2 linked regions of the Medicago truncatula genome follow. The protein of the gene in region 1 interacts with the protein of each later gene in a pairwise test. Links are inferred from orthologs where the notes say so. Each region holds a gene or a part of one and is shown on either strand. Other genes may lie near its edges.

Region 1 (16,831 bases):
TATTATAGTAAACCTGAAGTTTACATATTATATTATTTGTGCAATGTAAGCACATAATATTGTAAACCAGAATTTTACAAATTATATTGTTGGCAAGACTGGTTGGGTTATCCCGGATCTATTATGATGCATAAACTATTTGGAAAAAAAATGGACATATATTGAAGAGCCAGAAGATTCTTCAATCTAGTAACTATTGTGTGTTACTACTTCCCAGATAGAGTTGACAATTTAAAAGAATGAGTCTCTCACTTATATAAGGTGCTATTTAAATTAATACACTGATCATGTGAAGTACTTGAATATTATATGATTTGAATCGATGCATCAACTAAATGATCACATGTATATTCACAACCAGAAGTTTGTGAGATTATTATGTCAACAAATTTGACTAAGAGTTTATTTTCTAAACTTTTCAAAAAGCATTTTATAAGTATCATTCACCAATTCAAATTGATATTGAACAGCTGGTAGCATATGATCATAAAAATGGATTTGGAGATCCATTCTTTAGAGGTCTAAAGTTAATTGTATGATTGATACTTATGAGACCATACCTTATAAACTCTATTTTGGTTATGAGATAATGCCTTATAGACTCGATTTTTGGAATCAATAATTTTGTATATTGAGATATTGATATGCATCAAGCCAACACATTACTATATGTAAGTTCTCCCCTTAATTTATCATTGATTTAAGGTTAACAACCTGATATTTTTCATCCAAGTGAATTTTTGGATGTGTTGTGTATGTCACAATTGCTTCAATATAATGCATTTTGATAAATCTTGAAAGAATATTGGAAAAATATATTTGATATAAATCTTCATCTATCATTAATTGTATTGAGCCAACTTGTTTATAGCCTAGTAGGTTGATTATCAATTGATGGTTTGATTTTCACAATATTAGGGGGAGATAGTAAGCAGCTAAAAATTGTGAACCTGAAGTTTAAATAAATTATTTGATAGGAAATATTATTGTCTCTTATTGATCCTCAAGATATAACTCATTTGCAAAGGTAAACAAATCAAATATTAGCTGCTAATGCTCCAAACGAAATAGATGTCCATATCGGATAATCTAATATTGCAAATGAGTCTTCATCGTGCCTGAAGCATGATAGATCAATCGGTTCCAAATATAAAAAGCTTTGAATAAGAAAAGGAGCTTAAAGGAAAGATAACCCAAAACGAGGATATAGAAACTCTAAAAGAGTTTTCTGACATAATTGATTTTTCAGTTCCAGAAGAACTAATCAGGTACCCGAAACTTATAAAATATTGGTAAATTATGTCATGAATAATGTGGGTCCTCTAACTTTATTTATTAGTATCATTTTGGTCATATGCCTTGTTAAGGTATTATGATTAAATAGTGACTGATATTATTGGTAACTGTTATGGTTCATATGTATGTGTGAAATAGGAGGTCAGATACCCACATAACACAAACTCCAACGTTTATTTGAATAAAACTAACAGAAAAGACTAAATGTAGTAACGGGGAGAAACTTAGAGGACCGAAATAAATCAATTTTTAGTTAGAGGACCGATCTGATACCAATTAAATAGTTAGAGGACCAAAAAGGTATTTAAGCCTACTTTATATTAGTTCACACTTTTCAATTATTTAAACCATTCAACTACATTTTCTAAATATTCATACCACTCTTACAAAACTTACAATGAGTCCCACTAATTTTACAATATATTACAAATTATATTTTGCATTAATATATAAAATGTATAATCAAAATATATAAAATGTATCTCACAATATACTCAAAATGAATTAAAATATCCAAAATATAAGTAAAATCAAATGAAAATATATTAAATAACGTACTACTTGACATAAATAAGTTATAAGAAAATACAATAAAAAACACATAAACATTATGAGATTACATTTTTAAAATAGAACTCAAAACAAGATGACGATGATTTCATCCAATAAAATAATAAATATTAGAGAGTATTTAAAAGTGAGTGTTCTAACATTTCTCTTAAACAAAATTATTAGCTATACACAACACACAACTGACAAGTTGTATCTCACAGGGTTGCAAGAACACAAGTTATATAAATTAAAAACTTGAAATAATCACTATATTGAGTAGAGGTTGTGATCACTGATCACGACGGATACCTTTATCAAGAGAGAAACGAACCATGTAGGAGATTCAGCTTAATAAAAAATTCTATTAATATTGATATCAAATTAAAAACAATTTAATCTGTATTGGTTTTCTTTGAATATCTATGTTTTGATTCAGCTTAATAAAAAATTCTATTAATATTAATATTACACATACGTAGTAAATTAATGGTTTTGATATATAATATAGGCTAAATTACACTAGTAATAAATTGATTCTTTAAGTTTTTTCGTATCATTTAAGTCCTTTTAAGTTAATTAATTATTACAAGTTTGTCCTTTAAGATTTTTTTTCCTATACCAATGAGGTTCTTTAAGTTATTTCCCCGTAACAATTTGGAGATTTCATGTCTTACAAATATAAGTTATTCGAGGCCTAAAAGTTACAATTAAATAACTTAAAGAACCTAAGTGTTACGAAAACTACTTAAAAGACTGACTTATTGTAATTAAATAACTTAAAGGACCTTCGGCGTAATTTAGCCTATAATATAACATAAAACTTATTAAAAAAAATCTAGGTCTCGAGTTTGACTCATCCGGTGTTAACAATTCTTATGTTTGATCATCTATTTCGGCTTCAATTGATCATTTCCTAAAAAGCTTTGGTCTGACTTTAATTGAGTCCCTCGTTAGCAGACATTGAAATTGATTTTCCTAATTAGCCGGTCCTTGAGTCGGATACCAAACTTAAAAAGAAAAAATATAAATAACATTATCAAATAAAAATGCTTTTAATTATGCGAGAAACATATGAAATAGGAAAAATATAGATTAAATTAAACTAGTAGGTGTTATTTTAAAAAATTGAAAATTAACAAGCAATATAATAATACAATATACAAGTAAAATAAATAAATAAGTAATCAATTAGTTTACCTAAGAAAAAAAGTGATACATTTAGTTATGCCGTTTGATTCAGTCTTGCAATTTTCACAAAACGATTTTTTTTTTTTTTTTTTTGTTATTTGGGGAACAAACCTCAGTCAGACCTTGCATATATTATGTATTGTTCTTACCAACTAAGCTAAGTTCACGAGGACCACAAAATGAAATCTAAAAGCATATACTAACATTCGGTTTTGTGATTTTTTTTGTGGGAGTTGATTCACTTCAAGAGTCACGCATTTTTTTTTTTAAGGAAGAGTCACATGTCTTGTTATTAACAAGTTAAAATAAAAATGTATTTAAAAAAAGAAATATGAAATATTTTTTACAAATTTAATGACTCGCACATTCTTGTTTTCACTTTTAATTATTTCCTATCATCATTTTTACAATTTTTTCGCTTCTTTTTTAGTTTTATGCCAAGTAGTATTTTTTTTTATTACAAAATGATGCTTATAACATTTTATTAATAATTTTAAAAAAAAAAAAAAAAACATTTCACGATATCATGGATACATGTGGAGATATAATTGAAAATGTGTATACGAAGTAAAAATGTGGGTGCTTTGGTAAAAGCATGGACTTCTTTATTGACTTGTCTTATAATAAACTCGACATAATAGTGTTGACCATGGACATAACAAAATGCTCTACCATCTCGTAAAACAACACCTAGCTCAGAAAAATTCTTCTCTTGACATTGAAATTTAGCAACCACATTTTTTTAGTCCGTCTCAAAATCAACGAGTTCTGTGTGAAGGTCAGGACCAGTCACGAGCTTCCCTTTCTTCAAGTGAGCAAAGTGGAGAAAACCAATAAAAAGTTTACTGTTCCTTAAAAAAAATTATTGTTAATCATTCTTGTACAAATTCCCAGGGTCGGGCTATTACATATGGAAGCCTAAGACAAATTTTAATCGAGCCTTTTTAAAGTTCATTATAGAATTTTAATAAAAAAAATACTAATTATTTATTTGAATTTTTTTTCATACGTTTTGGAATACAAACCATTTTAGTAAAATTACTAGATTTTGTTTGTTGTGCAATTTGTTTTCCTTCTTCTACTTGACAATGGCTCGTTTTAGAACATGTAAACTTTTTTGAAAAAGGAAAATTTGTCCATCAAAATTGACACGGGAGATAATCGAACTTAAGATCTTGAGAGGAGCTGAAGCACACCAAAATCACAAACCAACACTACCAAACCAATTCAATTGGGTTATCTTAATAATGATTGTTGTGACCATATAAAATTCATAATTATCCCTCTACACCACCACTGGAGTTTATAAGAGACTATCTTAAAGAGATGTTTGAATGTTACACACCACCACTGGAGTTCATAAGAGATTGTCTTAAGAAATGTTTGAATGTTACACACCATCACATTTTTCATAAATAGAATGCTTCTCTACACAACAACGTTGAGAGCTAATTGTATAGATTCTCTGATTATGTTACACTTCACCCATTTTTTTGGACAAAATTACACTTCACCCGTTATTAAGCAAGACTTAGGCATTGTTTGGTTCTAGGGAAGGTGAATGGAAAGAAAGCAGGAAGGAAAGAAAGTTCATCAAAATTCGTGTTTCCGTTGTTTGGTTGCACCGTCAGAGAGGAAAGAAAGTGTTCTTTGGGTGGGTCCCACATAAAAAAACTTTCCCCTCTAAAATGCAAATTTTTGTTCTTATTTCTTCTATTACTTTGTCTTAGATTTCCTTAATTTTATATTTTGTGACAGACTTAAATGGCTCGAGAAATAATATAGAGCATATGCGTACTGGTTATGTAAATTGTCTTAGAGATGGGGAAGATTTAATGTTTTCATCAGTCCCACCATAAATGTCACTCATGTTTCATGCATATTCATCCTCCATAGAAAGATGAGTATGCATCACAAAACTAAGTATATATATTAAGCTTATGTTGCAAGTCTGAGTCTGAAGATTCATCAGAAGTTAATTGCCAGAGTCTGACGTCATCAGAGTCTGAAGTTCATCAGAGTTTGAAGTCAAGAAGCTGGAGTTAGTTAAAGTTGGTTATTGGAAGACACAAGTTTGCAGAAGGAACAGAAGCCTGGAACGATGGCTATTTCAGAGAAATTAGAAGACATTGTATGCTTATCCACTGAAGAGCGCAGAAAAAGGATAATACTACATTTGTACAACCATTACTCCACTATTCCACTATCATGTCTGCACATAGTATTGCTACAGTTGTGCCTACACTGGTTAATTCTCCAAACAAGGAATGAATTTCAAATTATTCCTTCCTATGACATTAACCAAATCAAGCAACAAATCATTGGTGATTTGATCAAGCTTCGGTAACGACTCTTTTATGTGCTAACATCCTCTCAACGTCTCTTTCACACCTCTATATATAAAGAAGTGAAGACTCTACAATGTTTTGATAGTATCAAAACTCTGCTGAAATTTTTGTGCATCAAAACTTAGAATTTCTATAAACTTTTATATCTTATAAATTCTAGAGTCTTAATAAGAGTCTTATCTGATTTGTATTGTGAACACCACTGATTGTATATCAAGTGTTCAAACCAAACATCTTTATATGTAATTTTGTTTGTTTATAAGTCTCTTGCTTTTGTGCTTGAGCATAGAAAATCTCTTGCATGTGCGCTTGAGTATTTGAAGTCTCTTGCTTGTGTGTTTGAGCATTTGTAATCAAATATTGATTTTCGTGAACTCTCTTTGGAAGTGCAAGAGGGACAGAACTACTTCCAGATTGTGGAAGGAACTTGTATAATTGCTTGTGTCTTTATCTTATTTCTCTCTATCTATACATTATTCGCTGCATTAGACTCTGAACAATGTTCTACTTCTGAAGTGATGTTCAGAACTAGATTGCAGCGGATAAAACAGAGAGAAAGAGAAGAAAGATACAAAGCAATTATACAGGTTCCTTCCACAAACCGGAAGTCAGTCCTGTCCCCCTTGCACTTCCAAGGAGAGTTCACTAAAATGTAATATCTGATCACAACTGCTCACTGCTAAAACTAGCAAGAGACTTCAAACTACTTAAGCACAACTTACAAGAGATTTTCTATGCTCCTTAGCACAATCAAGAGACTTCTTATGCTCAAGCACAACTGCAAGAGACTTCTATTCAAACAGAATTACAAAGAAAATTGTTTGAGGTTGAACACTTGATATACAATCAATGGTGTTCACAGTACAAATCAGATACAGACTCTTAAGACTCTATAATTTCTAAGATATGAACTTTGATAAGAAATTCTGAGTGAACTTTTGATGGAGAACAATTTCAGCAGAGTTTTGGCACTTGTAAATTGTTGTTTAGTCCTTGCCATTCTCTAAGTCTTCACTCCTTTATATAGAGGTGTGAAAAAGACGTTGTGAATTTCCAGCACATCAAAATATAGTCGTTTGAAGCTTTGATCAATCACCAATGATCTTTTGCCGGATATGGTTATTGTCCTATGAATGATCAATTTCAAATCCATTCCAAGTATGAAGGAACATTGTTGCAGGCATAGCTGTTATTCTTGTCTTGTAGCAGAGACACATACTAAGTAGTGGAGGTAGTGGTTGTACACTTCGTACAATTGTACTTTGTCATCACTCTTCAAAAAGCAAGAATCCAATGCCTTCAACTTCATTTGAATTAATTGTTGCTTCACTCTCCTGGTCTTCTGCAATGCTCAAACGAGATTGAATCCATATAACAGCCTTTGAAGCTTTAAGTCTCCCATCTTCTGATGAACTTTAGCTTCTGGTGATCTTCAGTTTCTGATGAACTTGCTTCTGATGATGTCATCACTTCATGAGCACTTGACTTCAGGAGCACTTTTCTTCATACGCTTCAAGCTTCCCTTATGTTGATTCCATAGCTCTTAATTTGTTCTTCCAGAACCTACAAAAATATTTAACCTTGCATATGGTCCTGCACACTTGAACAAATATTAGCATATCCAATTGACAATTTTTAATACCTTGTTATCATCAAAACTCTCAAAGGGTAATGTTAAACACATTTTGTTCCAACAAGATATGGGTTGAAAAGATTGACTACTTATTAGGCATTACTATTAAAAAAAGGAGAATGTTAACCATTGTCATTGTGACATTGGTTAAAGTACTTAAATAAGTAAGTTTGCATCGAAAAGTGATGTAATGATTGATAAGAAAAAAGTAAAGATTTGTATTTTCAAGAGAAAGTTTCTATTAATGAGATTTTTAACCATTGCCCTTAGGACAATGGTTAGCAAGACCCTTAATTTTTTTTTTTATAAATGAGTGATATCTACACATGAGATCCATTTAAGTACCAAAAAATGAGTGTCTTCTTTATGGATGCTTTTTTGGGTTCTGTTTTTTTTTCTTCTTTTTCTTAAGAATAAAAAATGGAATATATTAACAACGGCGATGATTCTTATTTAGCACAAGGTGTACTAAAGAAGCAACCCCAAAGGGCAAACAATCACAGTATAATTACAATAAACAGGTTAGTCGATACCCAAACAAAGTAACGGGTCTGACCACCATCTAATCGTGCCATAAACAAACGTGACATTGTTAGCTTTAAGCCACAAAAAGAAATCCTGCTTAACCTTTTCCAGAAGACCTATAATATTAGTTTGGATATTCTTAAATATTCTATTATTTCGTTCATTCCAAATTATCCACACACAATAACCAAAACATCTATATTGTTTAGGTTATGTTAACTTGTGTCCTTAAGACACATGTTAAACACTCCAATAATGGTAAGAATTTCTTGGAAAAATTAATATTAAACCTTTCGAACAATAAATTAACACAATTTTCAATACATAATTTTTATCAATATAATTTTTAACATATGTCATAACAACATAAATTAACATTTTTTTTTTCTTCATCGAAGGAATTTCATCACGAAATCCAAACCGCTATGAACCTGGCCGTATATCACCATCACTAGCAGCCACCAAACCAAACTAAAGTTCATGTTCTATTTTTACCCGTACAAGAAGGGTCACATGCGAAAGCTGAAATAAAAATATGCTAAATTCAACTTCGCCCACAACTATATCCATATCTGTTTAAAGGCGTGTGTAATCTGAACTCACTGCAAAGTTGTTATGACAACATACATTAAAGTAAGGCTGGTCAAGTACAAATTAGAAAAATCCAACTTGTAATTAGATTCTTATTTTTAAATCATTCATTTCTATTCTTAATCAATTCAATCCAACTTGCATATTAAAAAATTTGTAATTATTTTTTTCTACTATTATCATCCAAAAACAAAAAGTCATATTTTTATATTATTAAAAAAATACCACCAGGTGAATTGAACCGGCCAACGTGTGAACCAAATACCGCTTTGCCCACCGAAAATAATAAAGGGAAATGTTAACTAACCAATGCCCTTGAACTTTAGATAGTAACTTTTATAAAAGTTTGTGTAATGAGTGTATTGGAAATTAAAAACTTTTTAATTTTAAAAGAATAATTACTTTATTTAGTATGTTTAAAGAGTATTTCAGAGACACTCATTAACAAGACCCAATAATAAATTACAATCGAACATCATTTTTTTACACAGACATATATTCCGATTATTACTATAAATAAAAATCTTCTCCTACTTTTTTGAAACACATTTTAGTAAATATTTAGATCAAATATATTATTTATTTAATGAATTTAAAAAATGGTTTTATAATAGTGACCGAAAGATGTAAAGATCAATTTATTTATGTTATTGTAAATCAATTGACAAGGAAATCACAATACACACGATCAATATTCACACTTTGAATTCTTCATTCTCGAGAGTGAAATTTCAACCATTTTGACTACTTGATAAAAAAAAGATACCGATTAATCATGTTGAAAAATATGATTAACTTTGTTAAGTAAATTAATTTATAATTAGAATTGTGGTTAGTTCAATTACATAATTAACTAAAATTTTACGAATTCTATCATGATCGAAATTAAACATATACCATTCTCGTGAGTTTATCTAAGTGACTTTGATTTTTCATAATATATGCAAAGGGGAGGTTCAAATTTCATATATTCCACTTATTTATCTCAAGAGATTAATTCTTAACAAACAAACTACTTAAAAAAGATATATATTTAACCAAATCACAACTTCGATTATGATTAGGCTAAAATATGGTTTTGGTCCTGCAAATATGCTTCGTTTTTGTTTTAGTCTCTGTAAATTTTTTTTGTTGTGACTATTTTCAAAAACAAAATATTTTGCAAGGACCTTTTTAAAAATCAAAATATTTTGCGGGGACTATTTTTCTAAATATGGGTTCAATCATCATGTGTCACGTGCGTAAATCATCACAAAAGTGGAGTCAGAGATCAAAACCAAAACGAGACATATTTGCAGGACCAAAAACAACAAAAAAAATTTATAGAGATTAAAACCAAAACGAAACATATTTGCAGGAAAATCCATACTTTAGCCTTATGATTAATATGAACTCGAAGTTCCACAATTAAAAAAACTCAAAATTGTTGAGAAAAATACACAATAAAAAAAACTCGAAATTGTAGACAAAATTGAGTGATATGTATGAAACATTTTTGGAAAAGAAATACCAAAACTTTTGAAAATAATTTAATTTACGATAGCGCCACCGAATTAAACAAAGAAAAAACTTCGTCACTTTGATTTCTCTCTCCCCGGAACTCAGAGAGAGAAATTTCATTCATTCCACCATTCACACTTAACAGTTACCAGATTCTAGAAAGAGAAAAAGGAAAACGAAGAATAACGTAACAGAAACTTCAACGAAGAACAACAATGAAGATTTTTAGGGTTTTATAACTAAACCAAAACGGTGATTGATTTCAATGGAAATGCCTGCTAGAAGATCTAATTACTCGATTCTAAGTCAAGTTCCCGACGATCAATTCTCCTACGCCGCCAGCGCTAGTGCTCCGGCACCGTCGTCGTCGAGCGACGGAAAAGCTAGTAGAGGCGGTTGGGAGTTAGTCGGCGATCATCGGCAAGGGAACAATCGGATCGGGAATTTGAATTTGTATTCATCGATCGGATTACAGCGGCAGTCGAGTGGAAGTAGTTACGGCGAAAGTTCGTTAGCCAGCGGCGGTGATTATTATGCGCAGAATCTGTCGGCGGTGGCGGCTAGTGAGGTTGATGCGTTTGGTTATTTGCATGAGGTTGGTGAGGTGAGGGGGAAGTTGGCGGAAAGTGCGGCGTGGAACGGGGGATCGTCTGGTAAGAGCTGGGCGCAGCAGACGGAGGAGAGTTATCAGTTGCAGCTTGCGCTGGCTTTGAGGTTATCGTCGGATGCTACTTGTGCTGATGATCCGAATTTTCTGGATCCGGTGCCAGATGACGCGGCTTCGAGGCTTTCGGCATCGGCTGAGGCTGTTTCGCATCGATTTTGGGTATGTTGTTTGTTGTACCTTGATTGTGTTGCTTTGAATTGTGATTTTTGATTCTGGTAATGGCTTTGACTGTGAATGTGACTACGAAGCATTGACACACACAGACACGGTAATAATCTGAGAAAATGAATTAATTGAATGTAATTACACGCATCAGTGTCATGGTGGTGTCGGACACCGGACATGCCTTTCATCAGAGTTGTCAGTGCTATAGAGGATTGTGAATTGTGATAACTAATGAAAATAAGGACAAGGTGTGTGAATGACTATGGATATATTTTGACTATGGGTGTACTGTGGTTACTTGTGTATATAAGCCAAATTAAGGCAATGCTGTGTAGCGTCGTATATGCTGAATTTATATAGGGCTGAATTTATATAGGTTTGTCGGCTTCTCTGTTATGTGTCAACGGGATGACCGAATTTTCGGTTGACGGCGACAAATTTGGAGGACAAAGTTTCTGTAGTTCATTTAGGATGCAGTTGACTTGAATGGATGGGATTTGGTTTAGTATAAAATCTTCTTAAGAAGTTGTGTTTTGTTTGTTATATGGTATAGAGTTGAATTTTGAATTACAGTGTTGAAGTCTAATAGGAGTTTTCTGGATATTAGGGTTCTATTTTTCAATATTTTTTTGGTGCTAGTTCATTGGGAAAACCATTTGTCACTAGCTATCACATTGATTGAGGAAACTATCTCATGCAGTCTCAGTTTTCACATTTGATTGGCACTTTGCTGGGAGTTCTGGAAAGAATGGTTTTCAGTATTCTATTACTGTCTGACTTAAATGCTATGATCATATTTCTCATTCTTGAATTGACTTTTTTTTTTTTTTTTTATCTCTAAATAAATGTGTATCTTATTTTTACACTGCATAAAAAATCAACATTGGAAAATATGATGTTTGTGGAGTCAAACCGACACATCTTGAAAATGCTAATTAATATTTTAACAATGTTGCTTTGAGTAGAACGTGCGTTGCGTATAATCATCATTTATTGAGTGAAAAACTAGACCTCCTCTCTTTGTTTTACCCGACCACTGAAATTTGAGGGTGGAAACTGTAACTTGTTTCATCTTGATAGACTTGATGCTCTTATTGTTAGATATGTGAAAGTTGATTTTGTATCTTATTTATAATGTACACCAGGTGAATGGCTGCCTATCATACTCCGACAAAATTCCTGATGGCTTTTATCTGATTCATGGGATGGATTCCTATGTATGGACTGTGTGCACTGATCTGCAGGAAAACAGCCGAATCCCATCAGTTGATACTCTAAAGTCTGTACATCCCCGCATTGATTCTTCCCTTGATGTAGTTTTGGTGGATCGGCGCAGTGATGCCAGCTTGAGAGAACTGCAAAACATGGTTCATAACATCTCTTGTAGCAGCATAACAACAACAGAGGTTGTGGATCAGCTTTCCAAGCTGGTTTGCAACTGTATGGGGTGAGCCTTCTTGGCATTCATGGCCCGACCTATTTAGCTTTTTATCCGGTCATGTCAGTCTAACTGTGTTTTATTGCTATAACAAGGGGTTCAGCTTCTGCTGGGGAGGATGAGTTTCTATCTTTTTGGAGGGATTGCAGCAATAATCTGAAAGATTGCTTAGGATCTGTTGTTTTTCCCATAGGTAGTCTATCTGTTGGTCTCTGCAGGCATCGCGCCATATTATTCAAAGTAAGGCTCCACTTCTCTGTCGGGGTTTAAGGTTGTGATTACACATGCTGACTATGTTGACGAGTTTTTGTTCACCGGAGGTGGATTGTATTTAAGCAATTCTGAATAACTTGTTATATATTTATTATTTTAGGTGCTAGCTGATGCTATTGATTTACCATGTCGAATTGCAAAGGGCTGTAAATATTGTAAAAGAGATGACGCTTCTTCTTGTCTTGTTCGATTTGGGCTTGACAGGTATACGCTTTATTTTCCAAGCATACATACCTTTCTGTTTATAAGTTTATCTGCAATTTCATTAGCTATATATAACGATCATGGAATGGAAAATTTTAAAAGGACTGGAGATCAATGGTTAACATAATGTATATCGACATTGACATTTTAAATAGATTTTCATTAGAGTAATATTCCTGTCACCTCACCTCTTACATAATCTAATGTCAGGGAATATCTTGTTGATTTAATTGGGAAGCCAGGACACTTATCCGAGCCTGATTCCTTGCTCAATGGTCCATCTTCCATCTCATTTTGTTCACCCTTGCGCTTTCCAAGACTTAAGCCAGCTGAAACTACAATTGATTTCAGGTCACTAGCCAAACAGTATTTCTCAGACTGTCTGTCTCTTGAGCTTTTCTTCGACAACAGTTCAGCAGGTAATATTCAGATATTTTGGTTAAATTTGTGCTATTCTAAATCTTGGCTTCTGGTCTCTAGAAGGATCTACTTGGAGCATATTGTTGCATTTATCAAGAATTTGAGATCCAGGCCTCCCAGTTCCTTTTTTTCTCCCCCAACTTTTTAACGAGTGATAAAAACTTCTTCCATAAGCAAGTTACTTTCAAATAAGATTGTGGCTTCACTTATAGAAAAATCCCTATAAGTTTATAAGTGTTTACGAAGAAGTTAAATGAGACAATTTCTGAAAAATATTTAAAGCAGAAGCTAATTCCATTTTCCATAAGTTCTTACGGAGAAATTTATACAAATCAGCTCTTAGTCTCTTTGCATATTTAAATTTGAGTTTATGTGTGTGTGTCTATATATATATATATATATATATATATATTGGAGCTATTAAGAAAAACTTACAGGTCAATTGTTTGGCTAGAATATGATTTATAATAGAATCTTATTGCATTGTTACTTAGTGGGATAATGCTTGGTTGTTGAGTATGCGCTTTTGAGCTGTTGATCTAATGTTTGATAAATTTGCGAGTTCATAAAATCAGGCCCTTCTTATAAATGTTCGTTTTGCAAGTCAAGTAATTGTAATTTTGCACTTGATCATGTAATATGATATGCAATTATGTGTATATGATTGTAAAGTTATAATTAAATGTTTGAATTGGGTGCTAGTATAGGATACCCTGAATTTGATATCACAGAAACTTTTTCTAATCAGAGTTTGGATTCTCCATTTCAGAACAGTTGGATGGGAAATGCAATGAAAGTAATAACCTTAGGCCAATATCAAGTGACATCAACATAAATTCTCACCTTGCTTTGTATCCGCAAGCTCCTCTTCCGAGTACACTTGATCAAGCTTCTGAAACATATATGTTATGTAACCCTCCTCAGAACATTATAGAATCAACAACTGTGGGCAAGTATCCGCCGCCTTTAAAGCATAAGCGTCCTGTTGCTATTGCCAATGATGATGTCATCGAGGGTAGGAGGTTTATTGAAGGAAGTCAACTAATTCCTAGCAAGCCTACTCGAGAGGTTGCCTTTGACATGGAGGATTTGGCCATACCATGGAGTGATCTTGTTTTAAAAGAAAAAATAGGATCAGGTACATTTTGTTTATAAATTGTAGTGGCATGATTTGTGCAATTAATATCAGTAGTCATTTACTTGAAAATGACATATTGTATTTCAGGTTCTTTTGGAACTGTACATCGTGCCGAGTGGAATGGTTCGGTAAGCCACTCTTTTTATTTTAAACATTGATGCTTTATAAATAAATCTAATTATTGTTATTTGACTTGTTTTGTTGAAACTATAAGGAAGGAATGAAAAAGAGAAGATATTTTATATTTAACGAGATGCTGAATAATTTATATATCGTTATATGAAACATTAATTATACTAAATGCAAATAATTGATATCAAGTACAAGTATAGTACAAAAGCAAATGGACAGGTGACAAGTCCCCGTCCAACAACACGATGATAAGTCCAGCCCTTATTACATTCTTTTCGTTGATTTTTGCAGACTGTGTTTTTGCATTCGCAAGTAATGCTACTTATATTTGTGCTTAATACATCAGTACAAGAATACTATCATTGTGTATGAACAGTAGTAGTCGCTAACAAAGGTTCAGTGGTTTCTATGTTTTGGGAGCTTGTTTCATAAAACATTACAGCTTATGAATTAGTCAAGACTCAACTGGTATTTGAGTATTTGAAAGTAGGCTAAAGTATGTCATTAGTCCTTGCAAATATGTCTCTTTCTGGTTTTGATCTTCTAATGTTTTCCCATTTGAGTCTCCTATAAAAAAATGCTTTTGGTTCTTGTTGTTTTGTTTTATTCTCTATAATATTTGGATTAATCTGAACAAAATATTATAAGGACTAAAACAAACTAACGATCAAATGCCAAATTATGTATTTTTTTATTGATCACAATTTTATCAAGGGACTAAACAATTGTCTCCAAAGTACGCGGTGTGCTTTCTAGCTGGACCAAATATTATAATTATTGTGAAGAAACACTTTGCCTGTAAATGTATGTATATATGGAATGTTATATATGTTGATGTAGATAAAGCATGTTATCAAAATTCTTGTTCATCTTCCATTGGTTCCTGAAATGGTAGCTTCCAATATTATTTTAAATTTTTTTGTACTCGTGTCTAGTCAATTGAAAACAATTATTTGATGGACAACAATTGTTTGAGTATATGAAATATTCTTCAACAAAAGATTGATTTCATAACAACCTACCTGTGTAATTTCAAACTATGACTTCTGCCCAACTGCCATCAACCTAATACCTTACTGTTTTGGCTTGTTGTCTGATGCAAGCAGAGAGACTAGTATGTAGCATGTTGGTTATTGGCAACCTATTGACATCATATATCCTATTCTCTCCTTAGCTTTGTGACTATAGTACAATTTGACCTTTATTGCCATATCTTTTCTCACTTAGTTACACGTCAAAAGAGCAGAAGTTTATTTGAAAGAGAAAAAGAAATCTTCCAATAGATGTTTTTCTCATCGAACAAATTATACAAAAACAACAACCAAGCCTTAATCTTCTCATCGAACAAATTATATCTAACATTTTATTTCGTGTGAACAAATGAAGCTTACAGTCGCATATTTTTAATACTTATTGCCTTTTTCTTCTCTGATTCTGAGTTCGCAAATTATTTAAGCCCATGTCATGATTTAGAATGCATATATGTTGAGGATTTCTTCATTAAAGTCCAAAGCAGACATATTTTGTGACACTCTTTTTTTGGGATTTCTTCATTAAAGTCCAAAGCAGACATAGTCTTCTATTTTAATTATTTCATGATTGCTTGCTTATTCTCTCTTTTTGCTTGTTTTATATTTTTTCATTCTTTAACGCATTATTAATTTGCAGGATGTTGCTGTTAAAATTTTGATGGAGCAAGATTTTCATGCAGAACGCTTCAAGGAATTCATGAGGGAGGTATGCTTGAAAGTTCTAACCAAGTGAAAATCCCCCAAAAGAGAAATTGAGAGCTCGTCTTTGAATTGTATTCTAACTTCTTTTGCCAGGTTGCAATAATGAAACATTTGCGGCATCCAAACATTGTTTTATTAATGGGGGCAGTCACTCAACCTCCTAACTTATCAATTGTCACCGAATATTTATCAAGGTTTGCTCTATGTCTCTAGCTGTCCCTAATTATTTTTCTCCAAAAGATGGAATATTCCAAAGGGTAGCTTGAAATTCTAACAGTTTTTGAACTAAGTGCAGGGGTAGCTTATACCGGCTGTTGCATAGACCTGGTGCCAAGGAAGTGTTGGATGAGAGGCGCAGGCTTAGTATGGCTTACGATGTGGTATGCATTTAAACAAATGTTTTGTTTCTTGTTTTTATTAATTTTGGAATTTGTTATATGATATAATGGTTGTATTCATTCTGAACTATTTGTCTTTTTTTTTTTTTTTTTTCATTTACAGGCAAAAGGGATGAATTATCTTCACAAGCGTAATCCCCCCATTGTTCATAGAGACCTGAAATCTCCAAACCTTCTTGTTGACAAGAAATACACAGTGAAGGTAACAGTGAAGATTCTGTACTATATCTAGTACTCTTAACTTTTAAGAATTTTATGAAAATCATAGTTGTCCTTGAAAGTAGTATTCCATTTCTTCCTTTTTTTCTGCATCCCTCTCTTGCAAACAGTCTTGTATGGTTGTAGCAATACAAGGTTGTAATTAGTCTCCAAAGTTCATCTCTTTTTGGCCTAGAATGGCTCCAAAGTAGTCAGGTGTGTTATATGATTAGTGTAATTCTATTTGGATAATTATCAAGCCTTTACTTTGATAGTCTGGATATGATTGGGGGATAAAGCAGTGTTCTTCCCCCCACCTCTCGGAGTTTTGAATTCATCGCCAAATGAAAATTACACTGTTGATTCCATGTAGGCTATAGCATACAATGGTCCTTTTATATTTTTCTAGAAAGATAAAGAAATGAATAAACA
Region 2 (15,941 bases), on another chromosome or scaffold:
CACCGTGTAAAAAATATAGGAAACCGACACCGCTACATATATGTTAATTTATTTAAAGTTGGTCTAAAATGAAAATCAAAATACATATATAAACATATAGTATTTGACCTTTATTTATTCATCTACTATCAAAAAAGCTAAAAATGATATAATCAATTGTAATGTATATATGGTGTGTGGAAGCAAGAGAGAAAAAATTGTTTTAGATATTTGTCTGAGTTGTCCGACATGGCTATAGGTGTCGAACACCGATCGTAGGAGTGTCGAAGTAAAGAAAAAAATAAGTATTTAGGACACCGGTTCGACACGTGTCGTACGAGTGTCATAGGAGTGTCGGACACCGCGACACGCCTAGTCGTAGAGGTGTCCGTGCTTCATAGTTCCTTTCAGTTCAGGACCACCCAACTCAAAAATGCATTACTCAAAAACTTTCACATACATACTACAAACGCATGCATTCCATTTCACCTACAAATTTTTCAAAACCAACTTTCAAAGGTTTTTAGAAGCACAACATTACATGCAAATTACACATAAATTCATAATCAAGTAAAATTAGAAAATAAACATGTAAGTTTCTGTTCAAGAACAATAAAGGAAATTGAACACAACCAGAATACACATTCACATTGAAATCTCTAATTCTTACAATCTATTCCCACTTTACCCATTTGCATGCATGATCCATGAGCTATTCACATGATCATGGTAAAAATAACTACTGAATATTCATAAAACTCTTCCAAAATCAGCTCTAAACAAAATATGTAGAAGAGAGGGAAGTATGGAATGCCTAAGCCAAAGCAATTCTCTCTTCTTCTTTTCCTCCTCGCTCTCTTTCTATCAACTTTTCCACTTTTTTTTCTTTGCTGCTATGTGTGAGGAGAGTGAGTTTTGTTTGCTTAAAAGTGAGTGTATGTGTGTCTGTCACGTAGGGAGACAAGTTTGGTTAGTCTTATTTGTTTCAATTCCTAATCGATAAATGATATTTTTAACTTTTTAGACCATTTTGTGACACATCTCAATTGTAGTTATGTTGTGTGTTTGGTAAAAAGTACCAATAAGTTAGCTGGTAGCTGATAGCTGAAAAGCTAACTTATAGCTGATGGTTGATAGCTGATAGCTTATAGCTAAAAAATTAACTTATTAAAATAAAAAGTGTTTGGTAAAATTAGCTGTTGAAGTAGCTGATAAATATAAAATGACGTAAAAAGGGCATGTTTGTGTTTTTTTTTATAAATCATATACAATTTTTATTACTTAATGTATTTCTTTTTAAATGTTTAAATTTATTTCAAAATATTTTCATCTCCTAAATGATAAATGTATTTATTAATTCAATTGATAATTTTTATTTAACAAAATTTCCTTTTCATGAATTTTACTCAACTAAACTTGCATCACTATTTATCGTAAATTTTATATAAAATTATCTATAAAAAGGAACGTGAACAAAAAAAATTGAAAAGCCATATCATGATGCTAAACGTGGGCAGTTATGGATTGTTTTTCTAATTCAAGTTAAATTAAACTAAATTAATAAAAATTTAAAATTGGAAGAAAATATAAAAAGTTATAAGCTCAAAAGCTACTTGAATTAACTTCTCAAAAAACGCTATAAGCTAATAAGAAAAGTTTTTTACCAAACACGTTTCATTCTACAAAAACTAGCTTATAAGCTAGTCCAATAAGCTATAAGCTAACTTTTTTGTGTTACCAAACACAGCCTTATTTTATGTCCAAGTTTCTCTTTTTATATTTTTTTTCTATCAACATTTACATTTTTTTTTATATCATTAGTTTTTTCATAAGTTATTGTAAAAATAGTTATTCAAATAAAATATATCTTCCTACTTGAAACTTTTTATTCTATGATTAATTTTTACATTCAAATTTATTTATCAACTCACTTTTATATGAATATAATCAAACATAAATCACTTTACATTCAACTCAATTTTAAGTTGAATCAATTTTTATCACCACATAACTAAAAATATACTTAGATTAGTTCCTCAAACTAGAAAATAATATGATTGACAACAAAACTCTCTCAAGACTTTATGGCTGCTATATTTATCGAACTTGATTCACTAGAGCTTTGTTTGGGATTTTGGAGCGGATGAGAAGGGAAAACTTTGGAGGGTTGAAAATATGAAGAAAAATGATAAAATGTTTTACATTTTTATAAAGAGTAATTTATTAGAGAATGATAAATTAATATTTTTGATTAATATTCTTTTTGTTTGTTAAAAAAAATATTAATATATTTTTAACTTTAAGAATTTTATAACTACATGTAAACCCTCTCAAATTCCCCAAAACCCTCCTCCAAACAATTTTTTTAGTTCCCCAATATAAGAAGATTTTGTATTATGAATAAAAATAAACAACCTAAAATCTCCCCCTCTTAATGTCATCTATTTCTTCCACTTGATATTTTTTTTCCAAACCTCTCCTTCCCTTCCTCTCTAACTCACAAACAAGGAAAATGATTCATAAACACCCTTTAGCCATACCACTTTTGTACACACTCCCACGTGGATGGCAGCTTTGAAAATTTGTCAAAAAACAAGGGATAAAATTGGGATTTCACAAGCCCTTTTGTTCTCACACTCACAAACCTTGTCTTTGTTCACGTTTTTTTTTTCTATCTTTTCCTCTTAACTCTCTCTCCATTCCTTACAATGTTTCAACGTTTCAATTCTCAATTGTAGAAAATGGTTCACTTGGCGGAGCATTGTTCTCCAAGTCCAGAAGTGTAAGAACTATATTATTTTTCATTGAAGGATTGGGTATTGACAGTGAAATTTTGTTGGAGAACTGGATCAAAAAATAAATACTTACAATTGTGTGTTGCCATTAATGACTCTGCCTAATTCAATTGCTAAATTAGAACACCTTCGTGTTGCCAACCTCTCATATAACCGCAAAATCAAAATACCTCCCCAGTCAATTGGCAAACTCATAAGTTTGCAAGTTTTGTCACTTTGTGGTTGCCTAAATCTTCAAACAATCGGTGATGGAGGAAGAGGACGGTGGTGGTCGGTGATGAAGGGAGGAGAATGATTGACGGTCAATGGGGTTGTCGCCGCCGTCCGGTGGACGGTAACCGGAAAGAGATGTGTAGAGATGGCAGCTAGAGAGGGAATAGACGTGGAAGAGAGAAAGGGAGGATGAGAGAGAACTGAGATTGAAACTTTTTAGCAGACACTTTGTATGAGTATTTAATATTATTTTTGAAGTGTGTATAAGGTAATATGCCACCTATGTATGTATACCTATCATCACTCCACAAACAATGTCTAAATATTCGAACAATTTCATTCAAACACTTGAATTTGTAAGTGGTTGCATTGTACAGTGAAGAAAGTTATAAATCATTTTAGAAGATATATAAGAAAATACAATTGTTCAAACAACATCATCCTAAACATAAAAACTAACACCCCGATTAAAAAAAATCATTTTAGGACATATGACTCCGGCATAAAATATAAGTAAAGTGATATTTAAATTTAGGGTTAATAGGTCTTTATCCCCTGTAATACAGGTCATTTTCGATTTTCTCCCCTGTAAAATAATTTTTTTGATTTACCCCCTGTATTTTTTTTTGTTTTGATTTACCCCCTAATAGACCAAACAAAAACGAAAAATTCTGGAAAAATAAAATAAATTCATTTTTGTTTGGCCTATTAGGGGGTAAATCAAAAAAAATAAAATTACAGGAGGGTAAATCAAAAAAAATATTTTATAAGGGAGAAAACCGAAAATGACCTATATTACAGGGGGTAAAGATCTATTAACCTTAAATTTATATTTCATTCAAGAAAGGGTAAGAGCTGAAATTGTTCACTTTAATTCAAGAAAGGGTAAGAGCTGAAATTGTTCACTTTAATTTAGGACATGTTACCACGTCCACTGTAATTTAAGGAATGAGAACTACAATGTATTGCATTATTTAAAGGCTAAAATATGGTTTTGATCCCTGCAAATATGTCTCGTTTTGGTTTTAGTCCCTGCAAATTTTTTTTGTTGTTTTTGGTCCCTGCAAAATATTTTGTTTTTGGAAATAGTCCCTGCAGGGACTATTTCCAAAAACAAAATATTTTGCAGGGACCTTTTTCAAAATCAAAAGATTTTGCAGGGACTATTTATCTAATAAATGGTTAAGTCATCATGTGACACGTGTGCAAATTATCACAAAAGTGGAGCCAGGGACCAAAACCAAAATGAGACATATTTGCAGGGACCAAAAACAACAAATTTTTTTTGCAGGGACTAAAACCAAAACGAGTTATATTTGCAGGGACCAAAACCATATTTTAGCCTTATTTAAATATAAAAATTTAGATAACATTTTTCTTAGAGATTTTTAGGTAACATATAGCTGCATGTGACAAATTTTAGAGATTTTCATGTTCAACCTAAACATCATGTTGTTTTTTAGAATTTGAAATTTGGATCCGCTCACACCAAAATTTGTCTTCATCCCTTTCCACCAATTTATATGTCTCTTGTCTCTCTGAATTTTGTCCAATGTAAATGATTTTTACCATGTATTAGTGTGTTTTTATGGTTTAACCATTGAATCGATAAGTGGTATTATATTTCATTTGATTTAATGATAAAAATGTTCGTAGTACATTTATTAAAGAAACATATATAAAAATATCGTATAAGGAAGTGGTGAGAAATCATTTTAAAAGTCAGAAAATTATCGCTTTCAATAAAAAGTTTCAATTTTTTACTTTTTTATGATGGCACTAGTTAACATAATCTATTTTTTTATCCAATAATAGAAATTAACTTATGATACAAGATTTGTCTCACTTAAATATCAAATAATAGAGTTCTCTAGTTAAAATTTGTTTTTCTCTTAATCTTTTTATCAAATTTTACCGTCTCTCTCCTTCCACGGTCTAATTTTTTTCTTTTTTTGAGAGGGAGAATATCAGGGGCACACAACTCAAACCAACTAGTATAGTTTCTTTTTCTTGTTTGTGCTCAAAACATAATCAAACTTTATCTGAATCTATTTAGCAAATTATTCTAATTTTAAAAAATGCTTATCCAATCACCAAATTTGATATTGCGTACTTCATATTAGGAGTATTTTTAATCAACTTATGGACAATCAAAGATGTACAAGGCAATGGGTACATTGACACGAAATTTAGACAAACAAAATATTTATAAAAAAAAAACTAAAACAACCTCGCATGAAGGGTTTTCAATTGAGTTGTTAGAAAATAATTGTTAAAATATTATTTCTCTTGAAATATAAATAAAGGCTAACATTGGAATATGAAATAGAGATAAAAGGGAAAACTATGTATTTTTAAGACAAAATTTTATTAAATATATTTTTTTTTTAGCAATAAAATAACTTTAAACAATTGGCAGCATGATCCATAATACTCCCTCCGTTTTAAAATGGGTGTCGCTTTAGTCAAAAAAATTTGTTTTAAAATGAATGTCACTTTCAATTTTCAATGCAATAATAAATTTTTCTTTTCAATTGTATCATCCAATTAATACTTTGCACACTACTTCCAAAGTATTACTTTTAAAACTAACCAATAGTTAATAAGGATAATTTGATAAAATAATCATTCTTTTTTTTTAATTATTGCATTTCTTAATATGTATGTACATGCACGAATCCAAGTAGTAAGAAATGGGGGCACTTGACCCACTTACTTCATTTTTTTAAATCAATAATGGGCAATTTTTCTCTTTTTATCAACAATAATGAGGATTTTTTATACATTGACCCCACATCAAGTTTATTAATGACCCCCCATTAAGTTTATTAATGTCCTCGCATTATATAAAAAACTCCGTTTAATTTGGCTCAATTTTATCCTTACTTTTTTTTTGGAGTATATGAAAACAACTCAGTGAACAATAGAATTTGCATGAAATTAGCGATATTTCTAGAATGATAGTTGAAATTAAAAAACATTGCTTATGCAATGATGTATTTACTTCTAAAATTTAGCATTATTTTTTTTGCCTTGCATTAGTTGATTGGACTTTTTCTCAACTATGAATTTTATGAAGAATCAAATGTGCAATTGTAAAAGGGATGAATTTTGAATGATTGCTTGGTCACACTCATAGAGAGTAATATGTTTGATAGGTTTGAAAATGAAAAATAAAATAAAAAAACACTTTCAACATATAAAAACATGTAGAGAACAATTACAATCCTTAGATATTAAGATGTCTTTAAGTTTCGGATATTTGACCCAATTTCTTGAAATTTCTGTATCCGTCTCTGTGTGTAAATATCTAAAACGACACTTATTTTAAAACAAAGGGAGAAATTTACTACTGATTGTTGTGGTCTTGGAGGCAATGATGCATGCAATTTGAAAGCGCATCGGGAGAGGGTGACAGTCACCGAAATGCATTGTACATAGTCCAATGAATCTTCTTTCTTTTTTTACACATACTTTTGCTTTCATTTGACTACCATATATTCAAATTAATAATTAACTAATAAAGTGGGTATCGTAATTGAATAATTATATGGGTGTGTTTGTTTCAAGTTATAATTGTTGATTTCCGGAAATAAAATGATAGGAATGTATATGTCTATGTTTGTTACAAGTTTATTAAATTTTATTCCCGGGTATAAAATGTTTCTGGGAATAGAAAAAATTTCCCAAGGAAAAGGGTGGGAATAAAGTTCCCATGGAGATGAGAATAAATTCATAAATAGTTTACCTATTATAATCCATATTTTTATGGTTCCTAGGAATATTATAAAGCTAACCAAACATATTTTTCCTAAATTCCTTGGAATAAAATTTCCATCTTTATATTCCAAGGAATGTTATTCCTAGGAATAAATTTGATAAACTTGAAACAAACACACCCTAAGATTACGTAAATTTTAATTTAGCAACGGGAGACTGATTAACAAAAGTATCTAGATTAGATTGCTACATTGAATATTGTGATTAAGGTTTGAACTTACGGTCATCTTCATTTATGCCATTCTTCATTTTTACTATTTGCAGAGATATAGATATACAAAATTTTAAAAAAAGCAAAAAATAATTAATGATGGTGGGACCTTTTTTGCAGTTTTGGTCCAGGCCAATTTTGACCAAGTCAATGCTGATGTGGGGCACGTGTGTAATTATTTTATTTTTTAATTATGAAAAAATAATTTTTTATTTATTTTTTAATTAAAAATAATATTAAAAATTAAATAAAAAGTAAAAAAATTACACACGCCAACGTTGAGTTGGTCAAAATTGATCTGGAGGCCAGAACTGCAAAAGGGATAATATTCAGGGGGCTGAATTATTTTTTATTTTGTTAGGAGGCCAAAATTGCAACTTCATAATACTTAGGGGGTCAAAAATACTATTAAACCAATAAAAAAATTGTCTAAAAAATTGTCCCAATTTATTAATTTGAAAATTGAAAATTAATGTTTTGTAATAAATATTTACCATTTATAAAATCCTTAGTATATAAATTAGCATGACCATTTTTTCAATTAGTCTTATTACCGGCAAGTGTCTTGAGGATGCTTTTAAAAGATTTCAAATGAAAAAATTACAGAGTATTTTTTTTTTTTAAAATGTAAGTATTTCAATTTAGCATGCATTTAAAATACAAATTTTCACAAAAAACTTATTATTAAAACACCTAGTAAAATTATTAAGGGTTAAATATATTTTTGGTCTTTAAATATACCAATTCGTTTTAGTCCCTATAAAATTTTAATATAGAATTTATATTTTCGAGTTTCAAACATCAATTTTAATATATAATAAAACAATACATTGTTATTGTCAACTAAGTTATGCTCACGTGAATCAACTTGGCTTCTATCAAATAAGAAATGATATTTGTACAACTATTTTTGACAATTTTTAGACAACTTTTTATTTCATACTCACATTATATTCTTAATCTCCCTCTTCTTTTTCCTCTCTTCATTGTTTTTAACCAATAAAAAGGAGGAAAAAGAGGTTGTCAATAAAGTTGTTAGCAAATGATTGTTCAAATATCATTGCTCCTATCAAATCACCTGGTTAATATTTGTAAGGCTAGAAAAAAAAATCTTTTTGAACCTCTGGAAAAAAAAAACTAAAACCAAAAAAAGATACATTTCCTTTTATGATAAAGAGGGAGAATGGTGGATAATTTACCCCAACCAATACACATTAGTCACATAAGCATATTTTTAAGTGGTATCTATGAACTATCTTGACACCACTAATAAATTGCTTATTTTTATTGATTGGTGGGTAAATTATCCACCATTCTTCAAATGTATTCTTCAAATGTAATCTAGAAAAAACCCATAAAGAGGTGATAAGAAAATGATACAGGTATAGGACGTCGTCGCACGTGTGTGTAAAGTAAAAAGGATAGGAGAGTGAAGAGACGCGCGCGAGTGGGGAGTAATAAGAGTTGCCATCTTTGTCTGTCCGTGAAATACAGAGACCTTTATACTTGAAGTCTTCTATTTTTCCCACTCACAACACAAACATAACACTCTCTTCTTCCCTTTTTCTTTTACTTCTTCTTCATTTCATTCATATGAATATGAATGAAGTTTCCGCCTAACCTATTTGGCGCCTCCGATCACTCCGCCGCCTGATCTACCTCCCTTCTTCCGGTATTCACTCTCTCTATCTATAATTTTTTAATCATTATATGATCCATTTAATAATTCTCATTTAGTTTATTTATTTATTTTTTTTTATTTTTTTTAATATGATACTCATACAATTAGCTTCATTTCCAAGCATTATTTTATTCATTATACTTGCTTCTTTAGATTTGCTTCTTCCATTATCCAATACTATTATTTAATATACTTTGTTATTTCATTTCTCCTATACTATTTTTTTTATAATTTCATCATAAAATTCCAGTAATTGTTGGATCTCATAAGTAACATATTTAGATTCGTGTTGTTGGATTTGTGATTTTTCAAACTATTATTATTCACTTTACTCTCTAAAAATCTCACCTACTGTTTTTTCTTTTTTGGATTGCATCAAACTCAATAACTCAGATTGGGTTTATTTATGTAAGTAAATTATTGATTTTTATGTTGTTGTTCTCTTGTTCTTGTTGATTTTAAACTTGGAATACACTTTGATCTTCAATACATTGCAATTTGTTTTTTTCTTTTCTTTCTTTTACTTTTTGTTTTTGAACCCGTGATGACAACCTATGCTATGTTGCTTTTACAGATCCTTTCATGTGGGGGTGTTAGATGATGGAGTCTTGCGAGTGTATTGACACGCCTTATCCCCCAGATGAACTTCTTGTCAAGTATCAATACATCTCCGACGTTCTTATCGCGCTAGCGTATTTCTCGATTCCGGTGGAACTCATTTATTTTGTTCAGAAATCTGCTTTCTTTCCATATAGATGGGTTCTTATGCAGTTTGGGGCTTTTATTGTTCTATGTGGTGCAACTCATTTTATAAATTTGTGGACATTCTCAGCTCATACGAAAGCTGTTGCTGTTGTAATGACGATTGCTAAAGTGTCGTGTGCTATTGTGTCATGCGCCACTGCACTTATGCTTGTTCATATTATTCCTGATCTGTTGAGTGTTAAAACCCGTGAGTTGTTCCTTAAGAACAAGGCAGAAGAGCTTGATAGGGAGATGGGACTTATTCTTACCCAGGAAGAAACTGGAAGACATGTGAGAATGTTGACTCATGAAATACGGAGCACGCTTGATAGGCATACTATTCTAAAGACTACTCTTGTGGAGCTGGGTAGGACTTTAGGATTGGAGGAATGTGCATTATGGATGCCATCAAGAAGTGGTTTGAATCTACAACTTTCTCATACTTTAACTTATCATGTACAAGTTGGTTCTACTGTGCCAACAAACCTTCCTATTGTCAATGAAGTCTTCAGTAACCCGAGAGCTATGCGTATACCACACACTTGTCCACTTGCTAGGATAAGACCTCTTGTCGGAAGATATGTGCCACCTGAAGTTGTTGCGGTTCGGGTGCCGCTTCTACATTTGTCAAATTTCCAAATTAATGATTGGCCTGAGCTTTCGGCAAAAAGTTATGCAATTATGGTTCTTATTCTCCCTACTGATAGTGCTAGAAAGTGGCGAGACCATGAGTTGGAGCTTGTCGATGTTGTTGCAGATCAGGTTTGTTTGATTTCTTTTATTTTATTGGTTCTTTTTTTTCCTGAATATTTTCTATTCCGTATTTCCGTTGTTTTCTATTCCTTTTCTTTTGATTGCTTAAACACTCATATTCATTGTCATTGTGCCTGTAAGTTCTGTTCTGAGTCTGACTATCGCTGTGAACTTGTTTTGGAGTTTGGAGCATAGAATAGTTGAAAATTAGGAAATGGCTATCAATCATTGGCCATTTGGGCTTTATAGTTATTTCTCAACCATCAAGGTAGAAGACAGAATATGACACCTAGTAACTTAAGTAAAGAACCATATTAGGAATGCATGTGGAGTATGCGCTGAGGCCGCTGAATCCCAATAAGTGGCTAAAAAAGGGAGGGCAGGTCATGTAATTATGAAACCTGTGATATTTGTATTTAATACTTTTTGTCTGCATAATTCAACCTCTGCGATATAGTTTACACATGGATTCCATCTTATGTCGTTTTCTTTTCACTTAATGTTGTATCCGAGCCAGTCTAATTTTGATTTTGGCCATTGAAGATATATGGTGGCTCAATATCAAGATTGAGATAGGCTCGGGTACTGTACTAAATTTAAGAACGAGATTGGAAAAATGGGGTAAACAAACACGTGACAATGTCTATTTACTTCTCTTAACATCAAATATTGAAATAATCTGATGCAGATCTGTCTAGGATAAATCTACAACAAATGCGTGTGGGACCTGACTTTTAAGTGTTTTATTCCCTTTACCTGCACATGCCTCCTAATCCGAAAAGACCAAATTAAATACCTGAAACTTTTCATTCAATTGTATGGCTTTTAGGAATATCATTTTCTTTCTAGATTAAATTACCATATTAACTGTGTTTGAAATTTGCTTTTGTAACATTAGATATCGCGCCACAGTTGCTGTTTCAAAATGTCGCCTACATTTTCTAGTGCTGACATGGCATTTGTTTCCTCACATGCACCTCAGATGTGGGGACATGATTGTGTTATTATTCATTTCAAAAAATTTACTTGAGATTCTATTCCTCCGTATGATGAATCCATTTAGTTTCCAAACAGGTAGCAGTTGCCCTTTCACATGCTGCTATTTTGGAGGAGTCCATGCGAGCCCGGGATCAACTCATGGAACAAAACGTTGCCTTAGATTTAGCTCGGCGAGAGGCTGAAATGGCAATTCATGCTCGCAATGATTTCCTTGCAGTCATGAATCATGAAATGAGAACACCGATGCATGCAATTATAGCATTGTCATCACTTCTTTTGGAGACTGAACTGACTCCAGAGCAGAGGGTTATGATAGAGACTGTATTGAAGAGTAGTAATGTTTTGGCAGCACTTATCAATGATGTTCTTGATCTGTCCCGACTGGAAGATGGTAGCCTTGAATTAGAAATGGCAAAAATCAACCTTCATGGAGTTTTGGGAGAGGTAATTTCAAGAAAGCTGAGATATCTGTAACATTATTCGTTAACATCTACCATGAACAGCATTTATGTATTGCTTTTCTATTGTTAATGCAGGTCATTGAACTGATAAAGCCTATAGCATCTGTGAAAAAACTACCCATTACTTTAATTCTTGCCCCTGATCTACCTACTCATGCCATCGGTGATGAAAAGCGGCTTATGCAAACACTTTTGAATGTTGTGGGCAATGCTGTCAAATATACTAAGGAGGGATATGTTTCTATAAGAGCTTCTGTTGCAAAACCAGAATCCTTACAGGATTGGCGACCTCCTGAGTTTTATCCAGCATCAAGTGATGGTCATTTCTATATACGAGTCCAGGTTATGACTTTGGCATCTCAATATCTGAACTTTCTATCCATATGTTAATGTGATTGAATTCTTGGGTTATCTAAATAATTAAGTCATCTAGATCATCCATACCTACATTTCTAGGAAAGAACCCAAAGATATCTCTACCTTTTCATTATGTTATCGACTTATCGTTGTAGCAACTGTTAGAAATTAATCTAGGTATTGATTTCCATCTCATGACTGACCCCAAACATCCTTCTTTGTGCAGGTTAAGGATTCTGGATGTGGCATTCTACCACAAGATATTCCACATCTCTTTACCAAGTTTACTCAGTCTCAGAGTGGACCTGTTCGATCTAGCAGTGGTTCAGGTCTTGGACTAGCCATTTGTAAAAGGTAGGGAAAACATAATTTTGATGTTGATGCCTAGCATGTCACCATTATTTCCCCTATGTGAAATGCATATTAACCCTGCTGCTTAAATAGAGTAGTTTTTGTTTATTGAATTACTGACTCTCAAAATTGATTCAGATTTGTAAATCTCATGGGTGGGCACATATGGATGGAGAGCGAGGGTCACGATAAAGGAAGCACAGCTACATTTGTAGTCAAACTTGGGATTTGTGGCAATGCAGATCCATCCGATCATCAAGCTGCAAGCAGAGGCCAAGCATATAGTGGAAGTGGAGGCCTTGCTAGATTTAAGCACTTAGTCAATGATGACGACATAGGTTTTTCTAATAGACGCAATCAAAGAAGTTTCTGATATCCAAAACACCAAAATTGCTTATCTTTATATCAATGTCGACTGGCTATACTAAACTCTCATTTTGCAATATGCAAACTTGTATGATTTGCTGTTTGCAGCTATAGATTAGGATTAATGTGTCAGACATATTTCTAACAAACAGATCTTATCTGAACCCCTATCGTATTAACTAGTTATACAATGAAACAAATTCAGAAATAATCCATTGCTTAATATAACTTGGAGCAGTATTTTAGGCAATGTTTTTAAAATTGGATTGAACCCGTTAGTTCAACCATTGATTTGGGAACCGGTTAGTTCATCAGTTGGTTTAACCCTGATTATATTGTAGTTTTATTGAACCGAGTTAAACTGGTTGAACCACAATTGGTTCAACTGGTTTTATTTTTTATTTTTTTAATATCTGCTTGTCATCCAATTTAACCATAGTTGAAACAATTGAAAAATGACCTGAATATCTTGCCGGTTTGATTTCAGTCCCATTTTTAAAACGCTGGTTTTAAGGAAATGATGCATATCAGCCCGAGTCTATTACCCTTTGTCTATCAGTGTTTTGGTTTTGGTTTTCTGCCATTCACTCGCATTTAATCTCTTTGGTGAAAGAAGTTGTACTACTTCCTAATATGCATAGTAATTCCAATTATTATGAACTACATTATTTTGACACAAATTTAACATCTGACATTGTATAAACAAACAAAAAAAATCTCTCTCCTCAGACAATGAAGATCAGAAAAGGTCACTAGCTTAGAATGTATTATATATATATATATATATGGTCTCCAATACGCTTAGAATGTACTATATATGGTGTCTGATACACAATGTTGATTTTTTGTGTCTCAATAATAGTTATTGCTTAAATGAATAAAAGAGATGGATTATTGTGGAAGTATCAAGAATCATTGCTACAGAAACAGAGATTCTAGTTTATTTAAAAAAATCAACTCAAATGTCCAGTTCTCTTCTTGTTGCCAATGCTAGCTTCCCTCGAGGTATGACTGAATAGTCATTTTAAATTATGTTTTACTTGTTAGTGTGTGATTTTAAATTTAGCAAATATTAAGTTAGAAACATGTATTGATTCAAAGTATTCAATCAGAGTAGATATCGACCTCGTGAGTTTAGCTCAGTTGGTATGGACAATGCATAATATATGCAAGGTCTGAGGTTTGACCCCGGCCACCACAAAAAAAAAAAAAAAAAAAATCAGAGTAGATATCATTGTACGCAACTGCAGAGATTAATCTTCACTACAAGACTTGAAAAAAATAGTGAAGAATTGAAGCTTTGATCCAATCAATAGTGAAGAATTGAAGCTTTGATTTAAGAGATCCTCTTCTTCACTACAAGACTGCCAAAATTAGTGAAGAATTGAAGCTTTGATCCAATCAGAGTGGATGGTATTGTTTAAGTGAAAATAAACCTTCAAAATCCCATTTATCATCCCTGTCACGGTCCTTGAGTTGAAGCTGGGTATCACTAGTATCAACCAAATTACAAAGTTTTTCAAAACTATTACATGAGAGCACCAAATAGTAAATCATTAGCACCAACTCTATATTAAACATAGCCCTCTTTTAGAGCTAGAGTTGCTTTTTAAATTTAACTCCAAACTGGGGAGTCTTTGATGGAATAAACATCTAGGGTATTGATTTTGTAAGTGGAATTAAACTTTAAAAAACATATAGAATTAAACTCGGATCTCTTAAATTAAGGCTCTTTTTTTTTTTTTTTTTTGAGGAATCTTAAAAACAAAGTTACGAAGAAAAAGAATAATTAATGATAACCAAGAGGAATCTCCAAAGGATATTAATATTTTTCTTATTACAATTTTTATTAGTCTTTCAATTTCAATCATGGTTATATCGGAACATTTGGATGAAATGGCAAGGAAATTTTTTCCAGATTAATTAGAGGTATTGAATTCAAATTCAGCTATAAAAATTCATTGGTGTTAAATCTCGTGAGAGTTTTGTTCGTGTCACCTCGAGAATTAGTCTCGTTAGTTGCTCATAAATGATATCTAACTCAAAAAAAATGTGAAGATTGTTTGTACAAAACAACTTATATAACTAATATCATTATTACCTCCGATTAATCATGAGTACTAAGCTCGTTATATACAATTAATCAACAGAGGTTGAAATTTAACATAACGAGCTTAGTACTCAACACTGCAGATTTAACATGACAAGCTAGTACTCATGATTACCTCCGGTTTCAATATACATATTTGACCTTCACTCTAAGCTCTTTAACTTCATCCGTACACAAATCAACAAGGTCATACACAATTCAATCATGGTTATATCGGAACATTTGGATGAAATGGCAAGGAAATTTTTTCCAGATTAATTAGAGGTATTGAATTCAAATTCAGCTATAAAAATTCATTGGTGTTAAATCTCGTGAGAGTTTTGTTCGTGTCACCTCGAGAATTAGTCTCAGCATCTACCTCTTCTTATGTGATCTGTTTGCAAAGTTTTCCTTCACTACAAATAGCATCACCTTAGTTTATATGTATTCAGAGGATTTTAAGCCGCAACAAGGTATATCAAGATGCAGAGGGTATATCAAGAGGTAGATGCTGCTAAGCAATAGATGACATCATGAAAAGAAAAAAAAAGGTAAAATAAGAGTATGGAAAAAAACATATGCATCATGTCACAAGTGCCATTTTCTATCAAAACTCTTCCATTTGTAAATTAAGCACGGACAATAAGCTTTATTCCATCATATTGAGTCGAAGACAATGTTATATTTTAACACAAGCTTTATCCTATCATCGATTATTTTTCTTATCTTAGTCTACAAACGACTTTGATACTAGTGTTTCGTTAGACAACTACAATAATTGCATGTAATCTTGTATCATTTTAAACATAATTCTTCAATGGTAAAAATAATTAAATTGAGTTGGGGCTGTGGAAGTTGAGATCAATAAAGCCATTAGCAAAGTATAAAAACATAACTAGCAAAGTATAACCAAAGTGTTTCCGCAACAAAATCATAACAAAAACAGCAAAACACCATTTAGAACAGGGACTATTATAAATTCATACACCTGATAACTGAAAAATTAAACAATGTCTTAAACCAACAAAAAGACTCGTCAAAACTACTTTAGAACAGCAACTGAGGATGTCAGCCCAACAATTCTGCCAAGCAATCTCAGACTGCAGCGGCCTTCTTTGATTTCTTTTGCGGTCTGCACAAAAGATATTCGTTTAAACAATCA

The links.
Region 2: the proteins of serine/threonine-protein kinase CTR1 (region 1) and ethylene response sensor 1 interact in a two-hybrid assay, tested with the Arabidopsis thaliana proteins (2 studies listed by BioGRID). The link is inferred for Medicago truncatula from reciprocal best matches to the Arabidopsis thaliana genes CTR1 and ERS1.

The regions. Positions count from the first base shown.
Region 1 is NC_053042.1:30,648,127-30,664,957, reverse strand, and holds the start of serine/threonine-protein kinase CTR1, read left to right. Parts: upstream 1-9,678; 5' UTR 9,679-9,898; coding exon 9,899-10,459; intron 10,460-11,610; coding exon 11,611-11,912; intron 11,913-11,998; coding exon 11,999-12,143; intron 12,144-12,276; coding exon 12,277-12,380; intron 12,381-12,590; coding exon 12,591-12,799; intron 12,800-13,569; coding exon 13,570-13,938; intron 13,939-14,025; coding exon 14,026-14,066; intron 14,067-15,738; coding exon 15,739-15,807; intron 15,808-15,896; coding exon 15,897-15,997; intron 15,998-16,098; coding exon 16,099-16,183; intron 16,184-16,304; coding exon 16,305-16,403; intron 16,404-16,831. UniProt on the Arabidopsis thaliana protein: Acts as a negative regulator in the ethylene response pathway. Phosphorylates the cytosolic C-terminal domain of EIN2, preventing the signaling in the absence of ethylene.
Region 2 is NC_053048.1:51,565,388-51,581,328, reverse strand, and holds ethylene response sensor 1, read left to right. Parts: upstream 1-8,492; 5' UTR 8,493-8,650; intron 8,651-9,052; exon of another isoform or gene 9,053-9,067; intron 9,068-9,233; 5' UTR 9,234-9,256; coding exon 9,257-10,165; intron 10,166-11,230; coding exon 11,231-11,599; intron 11,600-11,691; coding exon 11,692-11,958; intron 11,959-12,199; coding exon 12,200-12,327; intron 12,328-12,462; coding exon 12,463-12,697; 3' UTR 12,698-12,915; downstream 12,916-15,941. Other genes in the region: transcription factor-like protein DPB, read right to left, coding at 668-677; 60S ribosomal protein L19-3, read right to left, coding at 15,875-15,911. UniProt on the Arabidopsis thaliana protein: Ethylene receptor related to bacterial two-component regulators. Acts as a redundant negative regulator of ethylene signaling.